Linked DNA regions of Caenorhabditis elegans. The protein of the gene in region 2 interacts with the protein of the main gene of each other region in a pairwise test. Each region holds a gene or a part of one and is shown on either strand. Other genes may lie near its edges. The genes, in order: B0303.7 and ifo-1.

What was found.
Region 1: the proteins of ifo-1 (region 2) and B0303.7 interact in a two-hybrid assay, tested with the Caenorhabditis elegans proteins (one large-scale study listed by BioGRID).

The regions. Positions count from the first base shown.
Region 1 is NC_003281.10:8,689,744-8,699,621, reverse strand, and holds B0303.7 (SH3 domain-containing protein), read right to left. Parts: upstream 6,001-9,878; 5' UTR 5,968-6,000; coding exon 5,880-5,967; intron 2,678-5,879; exon of another isoform or gene 2,572-2,677; coding exon of another isoform or gene 2,562-2,571; intron 2,264-2,561; coding exon 1,907-2,263; intron 1,640-1,906; coding exon 1,394-1,639; intron 1,272-1,393; coding exon 1,090-1,271; intron 1,037-1,089; coding exon 428-1,036; 3' UTR 101-427; downstream 1-100. Other genes in the region: sdz-1 (Skn-1 dependent zygotic transcript 1 protein), read left to right, coding at 1-56; B0303.4 (transmembrane and ubiquitin-like domain-containing family 1 protein), read right to left, coding at 6,678-6,880, 6,932-7,420, 7,884-8,414, 8,681-8,735, 8,784-8,880, 8,942-9,070, 9,118-9,287, 9,374-9,508 and 1 more.
Region 2 is NC_003282.8:7,319,853-7,329,998, forward strand, and holds ifo-1 (Intermediate Filament Organize), read right to left. Parts: upstream 6,812-10,146; 5' UTR 6,811-6,811; coding exon 6,718-6,810; intron 6,667-6,717; coding exon 6,592-6,666; intron 5,959-6,591; coding exon 5,893-5,958; intron 5,475-5,892; coding exon 4,669-5,474; intron 4,627-4,668; coding exon 4,530-4,626; intron 4,432-4,529; coding exon 3,432-4,431; intron 3,101-3,431; coding exon 2,681-3,100; intron 2,633-2,680; coding exon 2,384-2,632; intron 2,337-2,383; coding exon 1,842-2,336; intron 1,795-1,841; coding exon 1,656-1,794; intron 1,609-1,655; coding exon 1,526-1,608; intron 1,475-1,525; coding exon 1,289-1,474; intron 1,209-1,288; coding exon 1,039-1,208; 3' UTR 882-1,038; downstream 1-881. Other genes in the region: sqst-2 (ZZ-type domain-containing protein), read right to left, coding at 8,034-8,437, 8,694-8,798, 8,845-8,995, 9,040-9,108; ocr-4 (Ion transport domain-containing protein), read right to left, coding at 9,827-10,000, 10,048-10,146.

The DNA.
Region 1 (9,878 bases), on a different chromosome or scaffold from region 2:
ATTTGGATGCACCAAGCCGATTTTTCTCGTCTACTAAAATTGAATGTGTCGTATAAATATTTGAATAATCGAACCTACATAATATTACGTTCATCATATTGTAACAAATTCTTCAAATTCATTATTCTCCTCAATAAATTTACTTTAACATTTTTCTGAAGTTTTGGAAGTTCACAAAATAACTATTATAGTAACGCAGAGAAATGAGCTATTTGAAATTGATCTACAAACGTTAATTGGAAACGCTAGGCCCACACTTGATAAGGCAATTTATTGAAAATACATTTCTAGAAAATTTGACAATCGGCACAAAACACGCATCGGGGAAAATTTGAATTTTGTAAATAAATGACATATTAGAAAATACAAAAAACTGGCACATATAAAGCTAGAAAGTGAATTTAGTGAGAAATAATCAAGACCAGAATCAATTTTCCAATTTGACAATATTCTTTGGCAGAATACCCGCTGGCAAAGTCTTGAAAGCTTCCAATTTTCCCTTGTAATAGTAGTCATCAACATCTTCCACAATCAATAAATGATCGCCACGTGTCACATAAAGATGTTTGGGATCTTCGGAATGATAGTCACCAGTGGCAACTGCCTTCTTCGGAGAGAATGCACATGCAATTTCAGCGATTCCTTTTGACGGTGCCTTCTTTGGAGATCCGTATGGTGGTCCCAAGAAGGTCTTCGGAACCATTCCCTGTTGTCCACGACATTCTGCGAGCAACCATTGAGCATCAATGTCTTCCAGGGCTGTGATGACGTCACCTTCGAATAATCGGAGGTCAGAAGCAACTCCAGAATCGTAATCATAAGATACAGTAACGGTTTGTTTGGGACCACTATTGTTTGTAATTGGATGAGAATAAGATGGAGCAGATGATGGAGCTGATTGTTTCATTGGAACTTGATAAAGATTTGGACAATCCACAAATTGAGATGGAAAGATTCCTGATCTACCAAAGCATTCACCTTCTAGCCATTCTTCATTTACACGAGCTGTTACCATAATTTGTGATCCGACAGCGAACTGAAAGAACATTCAGATTTACAAATATTTTTAGATGTCTTTTAAAAACTCACATTCAAATCTCCAGCTTCGTTCGAATTATAGTCATAGATTGCAGTTGCATATGTGCCTGAAGATGATCCAGATGGAGCTGCTGGTCGTGGAGGCAGAGCTGTGAAAGCTTCTTTCAATGGGATCTTGATGTCAAGGTAGGATGATGGAACAATTCCAAATGTGCGCTGGTTTTGATTCTCACCTGAAACAATGGAAGATTATGTATTGAGTAACTAAGTTTCAAACATTTAATGCGATTGTTTCTGCAAAAATCGAGAACATCTCCTCTTACTCCATATAAAAATTAATTTGAAATCAACTAACCATAAAACCACTCCGCATCCACTTTTTTAGAAATTAAAACCGTATCCCCAATTCTCAATCCCATCTCATCAGATTGTGTCGGAGCGTAATCAAACTTGGCAATTCCATAAGGAGTACTGATGGCTGGTGCCGAATAAGACGGGATTGATTGTGTATGACGTGGCACTGGAGGCGGGGCAACTGGTGCAGATGAAGAGTAAGAAGATGTTGAGTTGGATTGATACGATGGAGTTGCAGTAGAAGAATCTGAAATTTTAGAACTTTTTGAAGAAAAAAATAGTCGGTAGGCATGTCTCCAGATATTCCCTTGCCTGTTTACATTTGTACCTTCCGCCTACTTCCGGCAGTTAACTCGATATTAACTCGACATTTATCAGAATATCCAAGCTTTTTGGAAAATTTGGCAATTTACCAAAACGTTAGCTATAAATTTTGAAACATCTAAAACTTCGGAGTGTTTTATTTTGATAATCTTTTGTTTGATCTGTTTTTTTTTAATCTTTCAAAACTCACTGCTTGACATCACCGATCCTCCGATATGCATATTTTCCAATTGTGATCTAATTGCAGAATGTGATCCAGAAAGTTTTCCAGGCGATGTTCCTCCTCGATGTGGTGGTGGTGGTGGAACTGAATCAGACTTTCGATTAGCATCAGCAACTGCAAATGCAGCTGAGATCTTATTTCCACCACTTGGGTCCTTGACAGCATTCAACACTGCTCCACGTGCCTTCTCATCTTGTGCAACATTTTTAGCTGTTTGTCTGACGAATGGATTCTTGGCGGCTGCGATTGCGGCATTCCGAACCTCTGGTCTTTTGGCTGACTCGAATAATGCCTTGGCGGCTGAGACTGAGAAGGTACTGGTATCTGGAAATATGGTTTACTAAATAGATAGGATATGAAAATAAACAAAGCTTGGTTTATTTGAAATGGAGCCTTAACTAATGTTATCACTTGGTTCATAAAAAAAGTTGGCGTAATTGTTTTTCAAATCAAGTTTTATCTGGCCTATAGGCAGGCAGGTAGGCATTTCCTGCTTTCATGGGAGTCAGAATTTTAGCTAGAACTTATGTAGTTATATAATATCTAAATATCGTCTTCAAGAAATCCTTACTCTCAGGACATTTAGATAATACGAAACTGTAAATAAATTTTCAAATCTTACCTTTTGACATGAAAATTGAGCACCAGCCCGAACAAAAGAGCGTGAGAAACCCTAAAACTGCCAGAAAAAGAAATAAAAAGAATGAGAACTGGGGAAATCGATGGATGGAAGAAAAAGGAAAAAGACTAGGAATACGAGAGAGTGTATAAGTTATAGAAACGCAGACAGATAGGCAATGGAAACTCTTGTGTTTGCCGAGAGAATGAGAGAAAGTGACGAATGTATGTTGTGACTAGACACACCTCGGACACATATTTCGACAAATCATTGAAAAAAGACACGTCATTCGAGCATGAGTCATCATAGCTTTCCAGAGCATCCTGTTATTTCTTCTTTTATTGTTTTAAATAGATAAAATATACAGTGTGGGAAAGTTCTATAGGACCCCCCCTAATTTGAAGGTTTGAGGAACTTCCGAAAATTTTTTTGAAAAACTGCTAATGCCATTCGTTTTTAAATTGAAAAAAACCTATATACATTTTTTTCCAGAAGTTTATCTCAAAAACTGAGGTCGCGCTGGAAAAAACGTCAAAATCCAGTGTGAAACTTCTATAGGACCCCCCGTTTTTTTTCACGATTTTTACTAAAATCAACAGATTTTGGAATTTTTGACAAAGCTCAAATCAAGTTTGAGTTAGAAATGAGTTCAGATAAGCAGTTTTGACTTTAAAAAATTAATACGAAATGTTCTCGTGGGATCTCCAGACTGGTTCTGATTCTTCCGATCTTTGATGTTCAAGTCTGTTTCAAGCTTCCTGGTGCTCTCGGTAATGCCAAAACTTGATAAACTCTCTTTAACAAGTTCCTACTAAAATTCCTAGCACACACACCATAAACATTTTTACGCCATCCCCAAGAAACCAGTCAGAAACAGCGTATTAACAAGTTGCAGTTATTTTTGATCAACAACAGAACATTCATATACTAAAATCAAGAAAGGATCAATAGTTAATCGGGTTTCCTTGTGTGCGGATGATCTCAATCAGTCTGTCCTCCATTGATCTGACCAAACTTTTCAGCTGGTTGTCCGGAATAGACTTCCAAGCGTCGAGAATTCCTTGCTTCAACGATGCAACTGTTGGGTAAGTCTTGTTCTGAGCATACACGATACGGACAAGAATCCCCCACAAATTTTCGATTGGATTGAGATCAGGACTTCGAGCTGGCCAATCAAGAAGGTTGATCTTCTTGAGCTTGAAATAGTCGCGGGTTGAGTTGCTCACATGGATTGTCGCATTATCCTGCTGAAATCTAAAGTCTTTTCTGGAGTAGTGACGAAGATATTTGGAGAGCTCCAGTTCCAAGACGTTCTGATAGTCAGTGCTGTTCATCTTGCTACTGACGAACTGTATCTCAAGCTTCTTCTTCTCCGTGAACGCTCCCCAAACCATCACCGTTCCTCCTCCAAAATTACGTCTCGAAAAAACCATTGGTTCCTTGCGCAAATCGCGCCAATAGTAGCGGCAACCGTCAGGCCCATCGAGATTGAATTTCTTTTCATCGGAGAAGACAACCTAAAACAATGATCCTAATTATTCACTCTTGCTTTTTTAAATTCTCACTTTACTCCAATTCGTTCCCATATTGTTCTTAGCAAATTCCAATCGCTTGAGTTTATGGTCTGCAGAGAGTAACGGAGCAGGGCGAAGTTTCTGACGAACGATTACACCAGATCGTTTGATGACATTGAGGATGGTCCTTTTTGAAGCAGACAATTGAAGCTCATTGCGAATATCTCTTGCCGTCTTACAGGAGTTGGAGGCAGCACGAATCACATTTCGTTCGTCACGCACGGAGAGAGCTTTGCGACGAGGAGCTCTTTTAGATGTACCGTAGCTCACCGGATCCTTCAGATACTCGCGAATACAGTGTCGAGAACGGGAAATTTTCCTACTCATTTCATGCAGGGACACATTGAGCAATTTCATAACATCCAGCTGAGCGCGTTCAGTGTCCGAAAGGGCAGATCCTCGAGGCATTGCAAGTTAGACTGCTTTCGAAGTAAGCTTTCCAGCCTCTATATGTGTGCCACAACACATGCCACAATTCCACATTTAATAATTCACGCAAAAAATAGTAAATAACATCTGTGAGGGACAATTTAACTTGAAATATTGGTCCCATGGAACCTTGTAATCAAAGAAAAACGATTTGATTCCTGATAAGCCTTCCATTGTTTCCTGCTGCATATTTTGCCAAATCAGCTTGACTACACAGTCGAAACATCTAAAGTGCGTGCTAGGAATTTTAGTAGGAACTTGTTAAAGAGAGTTTATCAAGTTTTTGCATTACCGAGAGCACCAGGAAGCTTGAAACAGACTTGAACATCAAAGATCGGAAGAATCAGAACCAGTCTGGAGATCCCACGAGAACATTTCGTATTAATTTTTAAAGTCAAAACTGCTTATCTGAACTCATTTCTAACTCAAACTTGATTTGAGCTTTGTCAAAAATTCCAAAATCTGTTGATTTTAGTAAAAATCGTGAAAAAAAACGGGGGGTCCTATAGAAGTTTCACACTGGATTTTGACGTTTTTTCCAGCGCGACCTCAGTTTTTGAGATAAACTTCTGGAAAAAAATGTATATAGGTTTTTTTCAATTTAAAAACGAACGGCATTAGCAGTTTTTCGAAAAAATTTTCGGAAGTTCCTCAAACCTTCAAATTAGGGGGGGTCCTATAGAACTTTCCCACACTGTATATTGCAAGATTTCCTATAATTATCTACATACTGACAAGTGCGAGAACCTTTTCTTGGCTCCAAAACGAAAAATCTATGAACAATATGTGGAAATTTTGTGGTAATTGTGACAGCAAATGTTTTTTAATGAAATTTAAAAAAAATTTCAATATTTTCCAACTTATCAAATTATATTACCCATATGCCAAAAATAGATGCCTGGTCTCGACACGACAAATGCTTGCTGGATTCAAAAGAATATGCGCCTTTAAGGGGTACTGTAATTTCAGACTTTCGTTGCAGAAAATTACAGTACTCCTGAAAGGCACATATTCTTTATCACTATTAAAAAATTAGTCGTCTCAACTTTTCCGATAAAGCTGCCGTAGGAATTTACATTTTCGTGTCTGCCTCTAGCCTTACTGCCTACATACCTGCCTACCGCCTATTTTTGCGAATTTTGCCGTTCGCTCGCAGATCCTGCTTTCAGGTTAATTAAATTTATCTCAAAATTATAATTTCGAAAAGTGGTTTTTTTTTTCATTTAAAAATACATCGAAATTATTTTTAGAATTAATTATTTCTCTAAAAATCTCACAAACATCTGAAAATCAGCATAAAGTTTAAAAAAAAACTTACCAATATTCTCATTTATTCCATTTGAATTTCCAGATGTCCCACATATATTAGGCTTCCGTGGTGGCGTTGGAGGTGGTAGCCTTACCATTATTCTCAATGTTGGAGCAACTATCTATCTGGGTGGAAAAGTGAATCCAAAGGGGGTCTTGAAGGGTTTATTTGCCTCCAACTTTTCTCCATATTTACTCAACTCAATTGTGCTGCTGCCTTCTTCGAAGTTTACAATCAAACATCCTTTAGCACTGTATTTTTTGTAGTCCACAATTGTATAAAAGCTACCAATTTATTACTAGTGAAGTATCTAATGATGATGCAAAAGAAAGATGAAAAACAAGAACCGAGTCAAATATACACAGAACACACGGACGGGGTGGGGGGAATAAGAATTATTGAATAAAATTTCGCAGTATTCGATGTGTGTATGTTTGGATCTTCTCATCCTCTGTCTGATCCGTTTCAAGTGGAAAATTTTGAAAAAAAAACCAAGTGTTTTGATACCCATTTTGTGTGCAATTTTGTTGTGGCTAGAATCATAATGGTTTCGATTTGAAGTGTACAAGAATCTGAAAATTGAAAAATCTATTGCTGAATAAAAACAACTATTTATTTGTTAGCTTTTTAATCGAAACTCAATTTTAAAGCAAAAATTAATATTTCTGGTTTTTTTTCGAAAGCTTTTTTCAAAAGAAAATAAATTCATAACTTTTTCGTTTTCAATTAATTAAAAAGTTTTTTTGAAGTAAATTTAATTTATTTTTCCTAATAAATAAAAACTCACTGTGAAATATAAATTAAAATTTACAGAAGACGAATAGTCTCCTGGACGATTTGATTTTCCATCATTTCATTTTGAACCTCAACAGGATCCGGTTGGCGTCGTCGCTGACGTGAATAAACCACAAAAACGAAGTAAAGAAATACAATAATGAAGATCGAAAAGCCGACTCGATCAAATACATCTGGAAAGTAGTACAGAAATATGCTCACTGCGACCATTTGACCTGTAATAAATATTGCGTTTTGACGTGTTTTTTTTTGAAAATTAGAATCACCTCCAAAAATCCAAAATAATGTTGAAGTTTGCAAATGAGTTTCCTGATCATCATCATCTTGTTCCAACAATCCATTATCAACAAGTAAATTGCATACCCATTGGCTAATCGTCAGAAGTGTGGCTGGCCGAAGTAGATCTCGAATTCGATCAGGACGGAAAAATGCCAATCCAATTCCAGAAAGAATTGGAACCATTGTTGATAAAAGTAAATAGATCTGTCCAACATTTCTGTCCTGCGCAGCTCTTCTTCTTGCTGTTGTAACATTCTCATCAACTACTGGAACACTTTCCGACGGCATTGGAGTTGTGTCACGTGGAGCTCTGACGGATCTTCGAGGTCTTCGTCGAAAACCATTATTGACAATTGGAGGAAGAGTTGCTATTCCTGGTCGTGTATATGGTGTTGTACTAATATGACAATGAACTATACTTCCTGGTTGAAGACCATATTCTTCTAGCGTTCGATGATCTTCTCTGAGAAGTTGGCCTGAAAAATTCAGTTAAAAATTATTTAGGCTTGAAGAAAAGACTTTTAATTTTTTCAAATAGTTTTTTTTAATATTCATTTTTCCATTTGATTTTCAGGATTATGAGCCAGTGGTATTAAATTTTGGGAATTCTATAAAACTTTCAACTGTGGCACGTTTTCACAATTTTTCCAATCTATCAAATTATCAACAAAATAAATTGCGGTCGATAGGTACATTTTTGTGTCTTTCAACGAATACTTTAGATATAGGCCAATAAAATTGTGTTCTATATTTTCAGAAATTTTATGGAATTCGCAAAAAATAATCGTTAGATCTTTGTTTTCACTTATTTTTTATCATTTTTGAAATATTTTTTAAAAAGCTTTTTTGCCAAATGCCAAACATTTGTTTTCATTAATTTTTTTAAACTTTAAAATACATTACTAACTGTTTTTACTTTACATAAAAAATTAAAGATACCTTGATAAATGAGCCGTATGACCTGATTCGCAAGATTTGTGAAATGATCTACTTTGAACTTTGCTACAGTATCCTCCAGTGATGCATACGTGTTTTTCTCGGTATCATTCATAAACTTTAGCTTTATCAAAATCTTCCCTTCTGATGGTCCTTCGATTACTGGAAATTCGGATTCTTTAGTTTCTTGAAGAACTTGCTCCGGTTGAGCTTCTACTTCTTGATCATCCAGTGGCGGATCCTCATTTTGCTCAACTTCGACTTGCTCAATTTCTTCAATAGGACCTCCTCTATCAATTTCAATTTCAGTTTCTTCATCATCATCTTGACCTTCTTCTTCTTCATGATCTTCTATTATTGCATCATCTGAACTATCGTCATCGTCATCCTCTTCATCATCTTCTTCCTGTTGATCTATCACAATATCTTCTGTAAGCTCTGGTGTATCAGCGAACACTTGATTTGTTGGAGGCTGAGTTTGTGTTACATTTGACGTTCTTGTTGAAAGATGATGTTGCATATCCGGGTTTATTGCTGAAAATCCATACATTTTTAATTTTCAGGCGGGGATTTTACTTTTAATTATAAAAAAGGCCGGAATGACCGAATGTAACTGTTAAAAAATTAAGAAACTGATTCTAATTTTTTAAATGAATTAGTTTCATCTCTTCTCTAATTTTCAGGCTTTTCCTACAAAAAATTGAAAATAAATATTAAATTGTCGATTTTATGTCATATTTGAAGTTTTAGCTAAAATTGTTCGGGTAAAGTTTCGAAAAAAAGCAATATGAAAAACTTACATGGAGTCGTATACGTAACGTCTGTAGTAACGTAATCATGTCGTGAAGAATTTTCCTGAACCAAAATAAATTATTTTAAAATCAATTTTTTTTCTTCATTTACGCTGGGTCTCGACTCATCAACTCGAGTATTTCCAGATCGTTCTGTTGGTGGACGAAGTTGAGGCCTGTACGTTCGAGACATCAAAGATGCGTCGTCTCTGGAAAAATACAGAATTTTTGAATGTTTTAAACCTTAAATTAAACTTTTTAAAAACTAACCCTCTAGCTAAAATTGCTATCGCCGCTGCAGCAGCATACTGACTATCCCTTGTGGCGTCAGGCACGTGACCAGCACTCGGTGGCGGCATTTCAATGTCCCATAATGTTATTAGGTCAACGTCTGGTGATCTGGAATTGGAAATATTAAACATTTGAATACATTTTTAAAAGTAAACCTTGCAGGAGCTGGTGAATCAATAACCGTATTCGGCGACTGTATCACAATATTTGTATCAGAAATTGCCACTCTTTGCTCTCCTTGAATTCGTGGAGCTCTTGCCCTCATTCGTTGAACTAATCGTTCCCATGTGACGGGCGGTGTGAACTCTTGACCGAGATGAAGAACCTGTATTTTGAAGTTTAGAAATTTATTCGAAATTTTCCAATAGTGTTTTTCGTTTTTTTTTTCTTTTAATATTTAAATAAAATTACCTGCACCATCCTCCTAGTTGTCCAAGTGTGCATTTCTACAACAAATAAGTTATAATATAAAGGCCTTCGAGCAGAGATTTGATATGATAAAAGTGCACATGCTATGATGATTAATATTGCGACGACTGTGCTTAGCTGAAAATAGTTTTTTTTAGATTTGAAGTTAAACAATTTCAATTTGACACTTTTTCATAACAATGAAAAAATGGGAAAAGGGTTCAAAAAATCAATAAATGTTCAACTTACCTCTAAATATTCGAGTGCAGATTTAACAATTAATGCATTCATTTTTGTCTAGTTGTGTTGTCTGGAATAATGAAGAATAAAGTGAAGAATAATATGAAATCAGATGATGCTTGAGAGACTGAGAGAAATAAAGAGAAGCGTGTTGGTTAAAATGTTCCTTGGCGCAGAGAATCGATACGTGAAAGCGCACTAATCGACGGGCAATTGCACGCTTTTTTAGGAAAACAACCTTTTTGTTAAATTTTATAAAAAGAATTTA
Region 2 (10,146 bases):
GGATGTAAACGATAGAGTCTAAATCCAAGGTCTATCTAGAAGTTAAAGGGCCACTTAGGTAATTTTTTAAGGAAAAAGACAATAAGATGAAGCTCGAAAGGATAATGCCCTTTTCGTAATGAGAGAAAGAGAGAATGCACTCAATTCATCAAGCCTCCCTCACAGAGGAACTAAGAGAGAATGAAGCGACCCAAAAATGAGAGATAGACAACAAATGAAGAAACGCAGGAAGTTAGAGGAACAGAGAAGCCCCCCGCATCCTCTCATTTTCAGGCAGACCGACGGAGAGAAAGAGGCGCGCGCGCACGCGTATGTTTCTGTTTCTGTTCTGCGGCTGTTCCTCGTTGTGGAGAGACGTGTGACAAAAAAGTTAAGAAGCACTGGGTAAATATAGAGAGATTTTGAGAAATTGAGAACAAAAAGATACGAGAAAGAGAGCGCGCCAGCGACCGGGTAGGAGGCGGCCGTTGTTGACGGGGCCCCCGGAAGAGTTAGAGGTGAGAAAATAGTGGATGGGATGAAGAGACGCAGAGAAAAAACAGAGAAAGAAAAGAAAGGCGTAGAGACTATGACACTAACAATGTATTTATATAAACATTTCACGTTAGTCATAAGGGATACGTTGGACATTGCAAAAAATATGAACAAGTGTATGCATTTTTTTTTGTTGGAAGATCCAAAATGTTTGTTGCCAAATTTCAATTTTCGGTGAGTGGCATGCAATGATCTATGGTCATTAAACTGGAAATTGGTTCAAAAATATATTTTCTGAAAAGATAATCTTACGGCCCTCATTGCATTGTAATTTCGAGTGTCAAGTTCTGAATGTTCCCCCTGGGCCTCATAAGGAAATGCTCGTTATTCTTGGCGGGGCTGGACTTCACAGTTAAGTTTATTAGAAAATGTTAGGAATACAAACAAAAATTGAAAATGACAGGTATTTTCTGACCGAAATCGGAAGATTAAGAATTGTTGAATCAATTTGAAAGTCTAGAGGCAATGAAATCAACGGAGATGAAATTGTTTCTTATTCGGAATTTAAAAATTTGGTCCATCGCCGGACAAGGAGACCGGAGAGAGCATTGAAGTGTCATCTAGGGCCTTGTAGACACGACGAACACGGATTGACTCCTCGTCTGATGACTGACGATGATAGTATGAGTTGTGTTGAACTTGGACAGGTGGAGAGTGCATCACTGTTGATGAAGCTGAAAATTCTGATTGTAGAAATATTTATTATTAGACGTTCAGCGGATGGTGATAATTCTTTTAGATTTTTCAAACTTACTTCTTGCTGAAACATCAATCCTTTGTGCACCACCACCAATAGAATAACCATGTTCACTGTGCTCATCTACAGTACCCTGGTGCATTTCATGATGATGACGTGTCATATGATCTTTACTTCCATGCTCATGGAGTTCAATCTCATCAAGTGGAATGCGGGGCAAAGAACGTGGACGAGGTTTAATCTCTGAATATTATTTTGAAACTAAAAAGAATCAGCTGACGAAATGTCAAATACCTGGTTCCAAGTGATGACCAGGTGGTGCAGCACTGACACGGTAGATCACTTGCTCAGTTGTCAGTGGCTTCTCGTCGGGCTTACTGGAATTCGAGAATTAAAATCTAGAAATTAAAAAGAATCTACGAACTTGAAAAGTTTTGCCAAATTTTTGACATGTCCGACATGAACTGGCTGGTAGTCCAAGGAAGTTGTTGATTTACATTGATGAGCAATGTTTTCCGAATTTTCAACACTGTCAAAATGCACATGCTGGTGATGATTGTGTTCTGAAATTACGAGATTTATAGAAACACCTCTTTGAAACATGTCATACCGTGATAGGACTCTGAGTTTCCGTTTTGAATTTTCAATGGAGCTGGAATATTTTGGCGATTCAACGAGTTCGAGCACTGAACAACAGTTCCCGTGGTAGTTGCAGTTGAAGCTGTGCTCACATGAGAAGTGGTGCTAACTCTTGAATCTTCTCTTTTCACAAATGGTGAGTTAACCGGAATGTGTGCCTCAATGTGAGCTCTCTTTGATGATTGAATATTTTGTTCATCCCAGTTGTTGGTCTTGCTCATTTGTCGAATCGATTGGTTGCTTTGAGCCAGCTGATATTGAATATCTTTCTCATTTTGAACCGAGTGATGATGGTGAGCATTTTCATTTGATGTTGTGTGATAGTGATGAATATGTTCATTTTCAGCTGTACTGTGTTGATGAGCATTTTCATCTTGATGATAGTGATGAACATGTTCACTGCCATCTGTATGATAATGATGATGATGATGGTGTTGAACGTGAACAGTGTCATAATGGTGATGTTCTGAAACAGAAAATTTTATATTTTCAATTATAATTTAAATATTTTACCTTGATCGTGTGGAATATCATAGACAACTTGTCCATGTGGTTCATCATATACTACACTTCCTCGATGAGTTTGTGATCCATGAACAGTTGAATACTCTTGAGCATTCGAGTGTTGAGAAGTAGCATAAGCATCATAATGAGTCGCCTGATTCTGATTGATTAATTGAGAATGTGTATGAGTTTGGACGGTATTTGAAAGCATATGCGAATGAGCTCGACTCTCGTCGTGAGAATCTTGGACAACAGAGGCTGAAAATACACTTTCTTAGATATAAACAGTTTTAATCAGATCATTACCATCCTTCGCATTGTACCGTTCGATATGTTTATGCACATAATCAACATTTCCAGCAGAATCAGAGTGATCTCTTGGGGATGCGGCATCATCGAGACGTGGAAAATCGATAGTTTTGATCTCTAATCCAGGCGTCGTTGGTCGAGAGTTGGCACGAGAAACTGGATGACTGACTGGACGGGTTTGACTTAGAATATGATTTTCTTCATTCATTTTAAGCAAAAATCCGTTGCGGTAGATCAACTCATGGAAAATGACAGGGCCAAGTGGCTTGTCAATATGCTCGTCCAAAAATTCTTCGGATTTTGGAGGTGGCTGCCATGTTCGTTTCGGTTTCTCCGGGATAGGTTCTGGAACTGCCACTGGGACAAACACCGATGGAATAAGAATAGGCTGTGATACTGGACAAGGAGTGTTCTTGCCTGAAACAGTAAAAATTTGGTGGGAATGATGGGAATTTTAGCTATTGATATCATTCAAAAAGCTGTCATTTTCACCGAAGATTGCAGGGAAATCTATACTACTATTATCTATTTCATCTTCCATTTCTAGTCAAATTCTACAACACACTCACGATTTGGTAATTTCCTTTTATCACATTTAATCTTACAAGGTGAAGATGGGGTAGAAGTTTCTATAATTCGATTGGAAATTTCATATTTCGTTTGAATACAACCTATTCTACGTATCAACTTTGCTTTTATGGCGGAATCGTTGCTTCTTAACTTATTATTCAATCAAAAGTCAACTCACTTTCTTGAATCTCTTCATATGCATGTTCTTCTTCGTATTCCCGTGCTGCCTTAATCTCATTCTGAAGTTCCAGATATTTCCTTCGCTTTTCTTCTTCCAAAAGTCTTTCCCTTTCTTCTCCTCTCATTGCTCTTTCCATTTCTCTAACTCTATCAGTGACACTCTTTTCTAATCCCAAATTCTTTTGATCATTGGATTGATTAAAATGTGGAGACACTGATACATCAAGAGCGTCATTTCCGATATAAAGATCATCATAATGACGTTTAGCTGGCACTGGAACTGGCTCTGGTTCTTCTTCAATTACTTCAGCTGGAGTTGCAACGTGAATAATCTCTGCTGGAGGTGGAGGTGGTGGTGGAATGTAAGGAAGCAATGGGACGAATACAATGTGATCGTGATCTCTAGTGTAGTTCAGAACATGAACAACTATTGGTGGTGCTGGAGGTGGAAGTGGAGGTAGTGGAGGTTCATACACTTCCTCGTATATATGCTCATCGTCCAATGTCACAGATTTCTCTTGTACTTCATATTTCGTGTCTTCATATGGACAATATGCCGGATATTCCTCGATCACAATTGGCTCATGAAGAATGTCTTCAACTCGATGAAGCACTTCATATCTAGTTGACAGATCATAGTAATCTGGGAACGACGGAATTACAATTTTACAATGATCCAAATCTTTGGTATGCGACAGAATGATACGATGAACATTGTCATAGTAATCAGCAAATGGCCCAATTTTATATGGAATATGTTCAAGTCCAGGATCACGACTGAGAATGATTTGAGTGGCGTGATCGTAATAGTCTGGGAACGAGAAAGACAAATGGGTAGGGTGATGTGGGAGATCTTCTGATCTATTGAGCACAGTGTATGCTGGCTCCGGGGTCTTTGGAGGAGCTGGAGATGGAAGTCGTGATGTTCCGTCGTAGTCCGAGTACTTTTCTAGATAGTCACGAGAGTAGGAATAGTGAAGTGGGCGAGTGATGTTGCCCTGAAAAAAATTGGATGGACTGAGAATAATTTGGTTCTATTAAATTTACAAGTCAAGTATTCAAAAATTGTCTTCCAATTCAAGTTTTTTTTGCTCACCTGATAATAACCTTTTGCATCCAAGAACATGAACTTGCTCGGATCATAATAATCGTGATATCCTTCTGGCATTTCGATTTCTGGTGGGAATGTTGTTCTATAAAAAAGTTTAGCAATCAATTACAGATTTGGTACTCACTTGAAGTCATATTTTCTCTCATAAGTGCTTGAATACACATTTGTGGTAGATGTTCTATGAATTGGCTCATCATAAATGTGCTCCGACTTCTTCGCTGGCATTTTTGGCATTACTTCTTGATTTTTCGCTGGTGGAAGTGGTGTTCCATAATGTCCATATCCAGATACATAATTTCCATATCGAGAATTGTAGTCATGACGAGTGTCAACACTAAACAAATTGCTTAAGGACTTTGTAGTGGAAGAGACTTGATCCAAACGTGGTCGTGACTGAGTTGAAGAAGCAGTTCCATGAGTTTCAGAACTATGTTGATTGTTAGATGTTTGATGTGCTTCGTGAGCAACTGATCCCATTGATTTTGACCTGGACATTCCAAATGAAGTGTATGCATCTCCATTACTTTGATGATAAACTGGATGAACTGAAAGAGAAAGCTCACGAGTTCTGATGTGGTTCTCTTCTTTCTCAGCAAAAAACTTGGCGATTCTTGCACTAATATCCTCTGCCACTTCGTTGAATTGATTCATTCCGAAAGGATGATCTCCAGCTCTCACAGTCAGTGTTCGATCCTCCAAAAGCCCAGAACCACCATCTTCTTCATAAACTGCAAGTTCATGATCCCATTCTCCGTGCCCTTGTGGAAGTCTTTGTGAGACGACATGGCGATGAGACTGATCTTCTTTAATGAGCTCTTCCAATGGAGCATCAACAGTTTCCACGTATTCCAGGCGTTCTTCATCATTTGGTCCGTAATCCTGTGTGCAATCCTCGAGGCGTTGAACTTGATCCGGAGATGGTACAGATTTCTGAAAGGAGGAATTATGAATATTTATTTCGTTGATTTTATTTGAAAAACTTAAATATCGAAAACGTTTATTTTCTGCATTTTTGTTGTTTTTTAATTCTAAATGTTTGCACTCTTTTACTATTTGTTTCATAAATATTGAACTATGAAATAACCTTTTTTGCTGTTTTTTTAAAAACAAAAAATAGATGAAGCATTAAAACATTTCTGGTAGTTTTTTTACATACAGTTTATCACATTGGTAATTCTATGTACAATGCACAATCATCTTCTAAAATAGTCTTCAAAAATAGTCTTGAAAAGTTCAATATCGTATTAACGATTTATCAAAGCATTATAACACCTGTTCTTCAGAATGATACGAATTTGTACCCAACCCAAAAATAACAAAAACAACTTTCTCATTTTCAAAAACTCACAGATCTGTAAAACTTTTGTTCCACGTACACCCTTGTCAAAGATCGCCCACGTCGTTGTAGATGGTTCTGAAAATACTTTCAATGTTTGCCACGTCATCATCACCCCGAATCGCCTACTTCCTTCTCATTTTATGACACTTGCACAATGCTTCTAAACAAAAAGAAATGGCATCTGTTATCAGTGATTGCGGCCGAAATTTTGATATTTTACTACGCACTGTGGCATTTGCAATCCGCAATTATGATGACTAATTAAATTTTTGGAAGGTAGGAGGGGATTAAGAATGAGTCAAAGTTGAGGTCGAAATTTGGAAAACATAGTTTCTCTAAAATACTAAACTTTTGTGTTTTGTGGTTTTTGTGTGAAACATCGAAATTAAATCAGAAAAAATGATTAAAAGTTAAGTGCACATTTACCGTATTTTCACTATTAGACTTGCACCCAAACTGCTTTATTTATATCTTGGTTGTCTTTTATAACAGTTGTTTAATAAGCAAAATATAGAAAAAATAGTATGCGCGTATTTTGTCAGTTGGCAATTTTTTGATAACATAAACCCAAAGTGAACCGAGAGCTGTCAAAGTAGAGCAATGAGTTGCAAATATCGTAGGCGAATTGCGGAATTTTGAAAAATTAGTCCAAAATAAAATTAATGCCAGCTCTTTCAAAAAAAAAACACTTTTAAAATAAAAACAGACCTCATTCTTCTTGGTGGTCAATGCATAGATGTATCGACGAACTCCCAGATATCCACGTCCGCGATTTTCTGATCTCTGAAAAAACCAGAAAATTTACATTTTCTATGGATCTTGAACACAACTTACATCATTCTCTCTTCGAATTTGTTCATCCAAGTCCACACATTTCTGTTTAACGGCTACAAGTGCTGCATTCAAGTCGACTTGTAGGTCTCCCATGCTGAAATCGTATTCGAATTTTGTACAACGGACAGTTGAACTTGAGAATTCGTAATTTCAGTCGTGAAAAAGTTAGGAAAAAATTAAGCAAACAACAAAGAAGTTTGAAAAGGTAGAGTGGAAGTAGTATTCCTTGAACTCGATGGAAAATTCCAACGAAAAGAGTCAATAAAAATGTTGGAATAGTGTAGTAAATGGTGGGTGAACAATCAACTGAAATAGGCGCAATTCTTTCCCTCTCTGCCAAAAAATGTGATAAGAGAATCTTTCTTTGGTGCCTTCTTCTTCTTAACAACATCTTATCAGTTTTTGGTGCGTTTGGAGGAGGAATGCAACGGGGCCGCCCGTTTTTGACTCCTTCATCGCTTTCTCCAAAATGTTGAGCAAATATCAAAGTTTATGATAGGTTGAAGGGACTGAAAATATTTGTGTAACTCAGAATCAGAATATGTTCAAATTTGAGTTTTATTGAACAAAAAGGAGAAATAACATTTTCAGAGAGGTTTTAGTAGGATTTGAATTGCAGGAGTGAAACTAATTTAATAAGCGTGGGCAAAAGTTAATAAGGGCAGTGACAATCAAATTTTGTTTTTGAAAAAGTGAAAAATCATGAACGCGTCATTGGTGATTGCGGAAGAATAAATAAGGAATGGGTAGGTACAATAGACTGCTTTGGCTGAGTTGTAGAAACCTCCCACGCATGCAAAAATGCCTACTTGCATGCTTTCAATGCACAGTAAGCGTTGGTCACTTTCTAGGTGTCAGGCAGGTAGGCATTTTCTAATTACATGGAAAAGTGTTCTATGGAGCCAATTAAAATAGAAATTTTGAAACATTGTGTTAATTTTAAGACAATTAAAAATTGGAAACATGGCCTACAAAATGTTTTTGAAATTCTCAATAAAGGTGGTCCGCGGTGTTATTAATTCTAGTCCTACAAGTCAATAGGAATGAAAATTCAATTGGAACAGATTTCTGAAAAGCACAAGAAAAATTTAATTTTAAAATTCAAAATAAGAGGGAATTTTTTTTTTTGTTTTTTTTTTTGCGAGATAGATTTCAGGAAATTAAAATTGAATGGAGGATGCGTCTTGGTTTTTTGCACTTCTGCAATTACATAACTTTTTTGGTCTTTTTAAGTATAACAAGATAGGACAGAAATCCGACAGAAAAACTAAGTTCACAACATAAATAGGAAAAACAACAAAACTATAAAATACAATTTAAAACCAATGATAATGTTCTCTTTTGATATCATAACGATGTTCTGGGAAAATGTAACTTGGGGCGTTAACTGTGACATAATCAGGAATACTTGTAACCCTTGGAGTCACAATTCGTAGAAGAGCATGCTCGTAGTGAACCAAATCTTTTTCACAGTCTCCACAAATATCATAGTCTGGACATTGAAGACAGTGATAACGGCTTCCAACAATTATACGGAAACAGTTTCGGCATGGAGTGTCATGATGGACGAAGTTTCTTATTGAATCATGATGATGATGATGGTGATGACGTTTGTTATCGTTGAATCGAACAGATTGATGGATTGAATGTTGAGATGGAGTTCGAATTATTGGAACGTTAACTTCGTGATAATTACGGCTTATGCTTCTGGGACGGTAATCTGAAAAATTAAATTTTTAAAAATTTTGTTACTATTAGTTTTGAGTTACATAAGAACACACCTTTGCAAAACAACTTGAAATTTCTCAAAATTTGAAAATAAAAAATACTTTGAAAGATCATTGTTCCTTTTTTTAAAAAAACTTAATTTGAATAATTGAATTTTCAAATTGTAAGATTATCTAACAAAGAACTAACAAGGTTGTTATAATAGGACTATGGAACTGTTTTTTAAAAAGTTTTCCGTAAAATCTTACCTTCCAGTCTTATATGTAGATGTGGAAGAATATGATCAGGATTTTGAACACATTCCATAACTTGCACTGAATCATTCAACTCGTTTTGAGCACCAATTGTACTATCTATTAAAAAATTATTACAAATATTTTTTCATTTCAAAAAACTCACCCGAAAATAGACGATAAACACCATTTGATGGATACAATTCGTGTGCAGCTTCAATTAATTTTTCCATTGCGTTGAACTTATTCAAATACAAAATCTTTGATCTGTGATAGTTATTATGGTAGAATGAGACATGAATATCCCTTGGAATCGTCTGAAAACAGTTTTATTACTGAAATCGAATATTCTTGAAGTTACCGAATATGATGGAGTTCTTTCATATCTTCGTTCTATGATTGGTGGTCTCCTGTATCGAATACTACTCATTTTTGTTGACCCAAACTAAATCAAAACTAAAAAGTTAATCTATAGAAGTAATGAGCAATTTTAGAAAAAAAGTTAGGAAGAGTCGAGAAGTGAAAATGTTGATTTCAGCGCCAGTGAAACTCTTGTCAAATGCTGAATGATGCAGTTTTTGATAAGATAACATTCCACTCGTTAGTCATTTTTGGAGAGCAAAGCAAAGAAAAGAAGAAGGCACATCAGAGAATGTTGCATTTTTTGAAATATCTGAATTGACTTGGTATAACACTAGAAATAACACTAAAAACGATGGGCATTCTCTTGGGTGAGTTCTTAATCCTTTTTTAATAAATAAATTTTCAAATTGAACTGACAAAATTTGCCGAAATAAACTAACAGTATGCCGCTTGTGGACTGGCTGAGCAGTTCGTTTTGAAAGTTTTCATATCGTTATACTTGATTATGGTTACTGCAACAGTACCAAAAAATAGTAAAAAACACTTTTAAAATGTTCTAAATTAAACAGTCTTAAATAAAAATATTTGAATGCAACATATTAAATCCGGAAACTATTTGAGACATCCATTTCATTTAAAGTTTTCCACTGCCAAATTTAAAGGTTTCTAAAAAAGCAAGATTGAGGAATCAAAGAAGAAACATCAACTTTCCACATTTTTCACTAACAAGATCCAACATTTATTAGACAAATTATTTTAGGAAGAGAATGAAACAGTAAAAAAAATTAGCCGGTAGGAATAATCAACTTATTATTAGTATGTCGATGCTTCGATTTGAAATAATTTGCTCCTTGCTTGCATATAAATACTGGCCGTCTTCTCTGGTTTGTGCGAAGTTCCTCACGGAATTTACGACGCTCTTCGTGCATTTTCTTCCGCTGGCACTCGAATTCTTCCTCCTTAAATTTATCATCAAACTATTGGCAAATGTGTAAGAGGAACTCACTGTCATTTTATCTTTTAACAATAAAACTAGTTTTTCACCTCCATCAAAACGTATTCCATATCTTCTTTGATACCGTAACCTGGTTGCTGGATCAAAACT